2 linked regions of the Kluyveromyces lactis genome follow. Each later gene encodes a partner of the first gene's protein in a complex. Links are inferred from orthologs where the notes say so. Each region holds a gene or a part of one and is shown in the gene's direction. Other genes may lie near its edges.

Region 1 (2,494 bases):
TGGTAGTTGGAGTCAAACCATTTAACCATTTCCAAAGCTGGCACATCAACAGCAGCAGTGGTTTCGGTAGCCTTTCTTTGCAAACCTCTAGCCATAGCAAAGTAAGTGTCCAATGGAGACAATTCATACTTAGAGTAACGTTGTGGGATAACGTTGAACAATAGAGAAAGATCCAAGACTTGATCGTAGAAAGAGAAATCGTTGGAAGCAATGACATTGACACCAGCATCCTTTTGCAACTTCCAGTTAGAGGCCTTGATGTCCTTAGCAACTTGTTGTAATTGTTCAGCAGAGACCTTACCGTTCCAGTACCCTTCGGTAGCCTTCTTCAATTCTCTGTTTGGCCCAATTCTTGGGAACCCTAAGACGTATGATTGAACCATTTTGTTATTGACAAACTAATGTATGATTAGTGATTGGTTTGTTTGGCTTAAGATATTAAACTCAAACTGAATGATAAAGGAAATAAATCTGTATTTAAACAAAGTACACATAATTCCTTTTATTATTGTAATGATGAACAATTGTCACTCCTCAAATTACATCAAGAGTCGACTGCTTATATACATTTTTTTTCAGATCCTCTTTGGACTGAAGTTTCTGATCCAACAAACATCGTTTAAACGATGAGTCTTAATTACCTTCGGCTGCTCTAGTCGTTCCCACGAAAAAATCTGCTCAACTACAAAACTGCCACTATTACTACTGCTGCTACTACTACTTACTTTTGACTTGAGCTCATCGGAACGTAACAGAACAAAACTTTTCACCACAATTCACCAAAGGATTCTTTCTGCAGAGATGGGGCTCTCTCAGATACCATAGAAAAGCACATGTCGTCAAAATAACACTTCCCACGAATCGCACAGCATTTCACATGTGGTTTGCCTAATGGTTTCCACATGGTTTCCTGCACGGTGTTTTGACGTAAATAGTGTGGTATAAGACCGACGTAGGTTGGGCAAATGGTAACTGTCACGTGCTGTGCCGTAGTCATGGCTAACCGGTCACGGGGAATGGTTCGGACTGCAATGTGGCTCAATTTGGTCTGTAAGGGTGTGGTTGGGGCGGTGGTTGTGCTTGTTGTGGCGTTTTTATGCACTTTTCCAAAGCAATTTTGATCCTTTTTTTTCCACACCATCCTCCTCCTTTCTTTCACATGGTGACGATGACTTCGTGATACTTACCCGGATTGATTGAAAGAGCTCCAAACTGAACAGCATTTCCAAGTCACATGTATTTTCACGTGACCTACAGAAGTAGTAGACTGTCTCTCTCGATTGGAACTCTCTTTCAGCAGAAATTTAAGCCAGCAATTATCACTCTTCTTCTTAACTTCGAACAACTATTTACGAGGTGAGACGATTTTCTCCAGTTTCAGTGCTATTACCACCAAACATCCAATATGCCGACTTTGGAAGTAGAGCACAAGAAGCTTCTTAATAGAAGAGAAGAATTGCTGAAACAAGACGTTTCTCTTAGGAAAGATTACAGTATCTTGCTTCGCAAGATTACAAGTGTCTGCCAGGTATTAGAATCATTAGGTGAGCCTATTCACATCAATTTAAATGGATACCCCATCTTCCAACAGCCAGATTATCAGAAGTTTAAAGATTGGGATGCTCTGGTACCACTTTTGAAGAGTTTAGAAGAAGTGAACTCGTTGCCCTTGGATGAAATCGAGATCCCAGAAGCTTTACAAGAATCTTATGAATTATTTAAGATGACTCCATTACTATATAAGGATGGTTCTGAATGAAAGTTTGGCTTGTCCTGAATTATCTTTTTCTTCTCCTCTCGTTCCGTATCATGTTCTCAACGGCTCGTGTGTTGATGAACAGTTCCAACAAAAATTTTCGAACTGAGGGTTTGAATCGGTACTCTCCCAATAATTCATAAACTTGTTCAAACATTTCTGGGCTTTGGAATCTACTAGGCCCATACTTGGACTGGAGAGCAGTTATCTCTTTGATCGCACCATTCAGAAGGATATTGTTGCCCATATCGCTTACTATCCTTAGGATCCTATTGTTGATCTTGTCATCTTCAAACACATCTGGCAGTTTCGACTCATTTGTTTGGGATATCTCTCGGATCGCTCGTTCCAATTCTTGTTTGTCCTCTTCCTGCTGGTCGGGATTCACAGACGTCTCGGATCTTTCCCATTCCAATAAGTTGTCTAAAGGGATCTCATGGTCCCCAACTATAATGTTCGAATTCAGTTCATTGTTACATATAGACGCCGCGTTCTGATTGTGTTCATTCACTTCATCCCATTCAATCTGAATGTCTCCTGGTGGTATTTTGATAGGCCCAAGGTCAGACCAATGCAACAATGTATCGGCATTTTTTGGGACACATACACCAATTGGCATACCTCGAGTGTCCATTATTGATTCCCAGCCGACTTCTTCAAGCATTTCCCGCCCCTCCATGGTATATGAAACTAGTCCCAATACGTAAAATGCAGTGTTCTTAATACTTGTATATTGAC
Region 2 (4,154 bases), on another chromosome or scaffold:
CAAGAAGGCATATTATATTCTTGGTGGTACCAAACAACCTGGTGATTATAGTGTAATGCCTCGTGATACAGATACTGAGAAGCTCATTGGAAGAGGTAAGAAACTTTTCCCTGAATTGCTTGAAAACTTCGAAATCAAGAACGTCAACGTTGGTTTCAGACCGCTAAGAGTAGGAGGTTCGCGTGTAGAACTCGAGTTCAATAAGAGTCCTGATGGAGAACAAATGCCAGTTATTCATGCTTATGGTCTTGGTGGGATGGGATTCGAGACCTCGATGGGTGTTGCCTACCACATTCAAAAATTGTACAACAACGTCTTCTCCACTTCAAAATTATGATGTGCGCTTGCATCGAAATTAAAGACTACCTACTGGACATTTCACATTAAAGTAAATAATTCTGTAAATAAAGACCACGCAGCATTTTAAGTTAACTTTATTTGAAAGTATCAATAACGATTACACTTCATTCGAATGAAGGGATTGTACAACGGAGGTTGTTACTAAGTAAAAAAAGTATGCATCTCAGTAACGAAGTGAGTGGTGCCGTCAGGACGTTTACGTATTTTATGGTAAGTGGAACTCATTATATGTTGAAGGGTGTAGATTACATTTCGTTATATGGTGAGGAACCCAGTGCAATTGAGCAAGCTTACGCCATATTCATGAATGTGTTGGAAATAGATGAACAAGGGAAAGTTATCAACGTCAAACATGCCGAGAAACGAGCAACAGACTACATTAGGTCTTACTGTGAATCGACCTTCGAGGTTGATCCACCTTTCGAAGATTGGGAAGTTCAGTTATATTGAAAAATGTACCTCCATTAGCAACTATTTTAGACCGGCGTTGGTTTTCTGGGAGCAATTGGCTGCTTATACACCAGAATAGTGTATGTTTAGAGGCTGCTACATAGTCAAAAGATAGTATTAGTATTCATACATGATATCAACCTTTATTCACACTGGATATAGGCAACCAATTATAAATCCGGGTAACTTGTAGTTTACGTTGACTATCAAAGAGAATCAACCAAAAGGTAATAACGTCCAGTAAACTTAAACAGTAAAACAGAAGTTTTCTGATATAAAGAAGGTGGAAAAGCCAGACTTAAAACATTAGAGAACGTATAAATTTGAAGAAATTCATTATTGGTTCCATATATAGTACCCCTAATTGGAGATCTAATTGGGTATCTGCGTTCTCTGTTTTTCTAATTAGGAGACAGACAACTTTTTATTGAATAACAGAGCGGAAAGCAATTGTTACTATCTTTTATGAACTGCTAGTACCAAATTACAAACTTATAACACCTAGAAATTTTCCAATTCAATTTAAGATTACCTTTTCTTACATTTGCATTATTGATCAGCTCTAAAAGATTTCAACAATGGCAAAGCGGGTGTATGATCCCATTCACGATACTTATCAGATACAAGTTACTCCAGAGCCGCCTGTGCTTTCACAGCCGCGACCAGATGGTAACGAAGAGGAAGACAGAGACTCGGATTCTACTCAGTCAGAACCTTCTCAATCAGCTGCAATTTCCATGCCAGATTCTTCTAATGACGAAAATAAATATTATGAGAAGGAATCAACGGTGTCCGCAGATTCTCCTAATTCAGCATTGCCATCTGATTCACAGCATTCCGTAATACCTCCTCCGCCACCAATGGAGCTGGTTCAATACCCAGGGAATGAGAGGAAATCCAAACATTCTCATGCTATGAACTTTATGACAACTACCCTGAGACCAAAACCTAAGGCAAAAGAACCAAGCCGATACACTCGCCATTTAAAGAAATCTGACGGTGAACCTTTCACTCGTAAGGACATTCAATATGAGTTCCTTTCGAACCTTCTATCTGACACAAGACAAATATTTAGTAATCCGTTCCAAGATTTCTTTCCCTTGGAATACACACCAGAGGAAGGTAAAGTGGTGAACGTCACGGATGTGGACTATAATGCAAGAACTTTCATCAAAACCGAAAAATTAACTTTTTCTCAGATATACATTTTAACTATCGCTTCTTCAAGTAAATGTTCCAAAGTATTACGGGATAAACTACTTTTTGATCATCATGTAGCGTTTTCTACGTGCATATTATCATTGTTGGTGAATATGGGAAGATTGAATACGACTGTAAATTTCTTTCTCGAAATGACTTCCCAGCTGCGTACCTTCCATTCAATTCCATGTCTACAGCACTATAGTTCAGATCCTAAATCATTACAAGATACTCCAAGGATTAAGTCGATCCTCAAAACTATCCCACTTGGGTCCGACACTCCAATAGAGTTTCATAAATGGTACGCAGCAGATTACCCCCGTAATCCTAGCGAATGGGTAAATCCAGTATCTTTGATATTTGCTTTTTGCGAACAACATGCCATACTAGATTGGAATATTATAATTCCTAATTGTAAGCCCAAGACCTCTCTTTACCAATTATTTGATGATAATAATTATTCTCCACAGCTACGAGTCAATCTTTTCTTGTGGTTGATGTATATCCATATGGAGACGAACCTCACACCGGAATCGTTACAGTCTTCGAAACCTCTCTTCCAAGTCGAACCAAACGGAACGTTCTTATTGACTGCGTCTCATTTAGAACATGATATTGACACTCCAGTAGAGGTAACATACGGAGAAGAGCAATTGGAAAAGAGAATAAGCTTTTTGAATCAAACAGGAGCAGAGAGGACGATTGTCCAACAGACGATGGAAACTCCTCCTACAGGCCCCGATGATGAACCGTTGGATCCAGAAGCAGCACTAGAAGAACCGGTACCGGCTCCTCCACCACCAAAGCCCAAGCAGTCACGAGCTACATCAAAGGAAAAAGGAGGGAAGTCACAACCGGTGATAATCCAACAAGATACACAGCGAAAGAAGAGACAGTCGAATGCAGCAGGTTCTAAAAATAATTCGGAAGAAAACAACAATAACTCTGAAAGTAAAGCTGCAATAAGGGCTAAGATTCAACAAGATAAAGATGAGCGAGTACAGCAAAAAATTGATCTTGATAAAAATTTTAAAATTAGAGATGATTTGACTCAGACTCAATTGAGAACTAAATTGATTGAAGCCCATAAAATCACCAACAAGAAAAACCATGAGTTAGGCTTAGTTAAGTTATTTGACGAATTCGAAGATGTTCCTCTTGCAACTATTATTGGTATCCGGGGGAAAAAGAGAAAGAAGTTCAGTGACGGCATTTTAGGATATGAGACAGACATGTTAGGAGTGCTACGCCATTCAAAAAGAACAATGCTCAAAAGGCTAAGAGAGAAACGCGGAGTGCCCAACCCTGAAGAAGAAAACAGCTCTGCTGTCCAAGAAGCAACGACTGAACCAAAAGTAATGGCTGAATCCACTGCAGAAACTCTGGCGGCAGATCCAACTGAAAAAGTGGAAAACGAAAGGAACGGAACTGCCTTCCATGACAGCTGAATAGTTCCAACTTCTGCGAACGATAGTAACACTAATAATGACATTGTAATTAAATAATTGTAGATCCATATTTAATGACTCCTAATTGAATTCCATACTGGTATATAAGGAAATCCAAAATTTTCTGTACTTTGTTGGTCAGTATCAACGTTTCTGGGTATGGCGATGGTAAATTCCAGTAACAGTGAAAAGAAACCTCTAAATCATTAAGAGTTATGGTATTGTTAGATGCCCTAATGAATTTACTTGCCTCGACGATCTTTGATATCATTTGCTCGTGAAGTTCCTTTATCCTAAGAAATTGTACGACAGCCATCATAGCAACATTCACGTTCTGAGTATCTTCGGCATATTGAATTATAGGCTGTAACTCAACTTCAAACGCATTCAAGTCAATAGCCATGGAACGAATACTCTCGTTTTCTACTGCTATTCTGAAAGAGGCGGTGAAACTACCTTTACGTAGCAGGATCATATCCTTTTCACATGTGACTGTAACATCATTTAGTGTAATATCCAGATATTTCTTTCTCTGTTCAATGTTTAAGCTCGGTAACACACGCGGTAGTGGATTATTGCTCGATTGTGATGAATCACTGACGGCATTGTCGTTTCTTCGTAGTAGTTTCAATAGAAGTTTATCATCTAACTGTACACTTCTGGGTTCCACGACTCTTGTTTGAGACAACTGATCCA

The links.
Region 2: IES5 (region 1) and IES1 share a complex: the UniProt entries of both Saccharomyces cerevisiae proteins name them as parts of the chromatin-remodeling INO80 complex. The link is inferred for Kluyveromyces lactis from reciprocal best matches to the Saccharomyces cerevisiae genes IES5 and IES1.

What each region holds. Positions count from the first base shown.
Region 1 is NC_006041.1:1,787,930-1,790,423, forward strand, and holds IES5 (Ies5p), read left to right. Parts: upstream 1-1,405; coding exon 1,406-1,759; downstream 1,760-2,494. Other genes in the region: MET6 (5-methyltetrahydropteroyltriglutamate-homocysteine S-methyltransferase), read right to left, coding at 1-383; KLLA0_E20087g (uncharacterized protein), read right to left, coding at 767-1,141; TORC2 complex subunit TSC11, read right to left, coding at 1,779-2,494.
Region 2 is NC_006040.1:651,402-655,555, forward strand, and holds IES1 (Ies1p), read left to right. Parts: upstream 1-1,388; coding exon 1,389-3,458; downstream 3,459-4,154. Other genes in the region: KLLA0_D07568g (FAD-dependent oxidoreductase), read left to right, coding at 1-337; KLLA0_D07579g (uncharacterized protein), read left to right, coding at 517-810; KLLA0_D07612g (uncharacterized protein), read right to left, coding at 3,508-4,154. UniProt on the Saccharomyces cerevisiae protein: Probably involved in transcription regulation via its interaction with the INO80 complex, a chromatin-remodeling complex.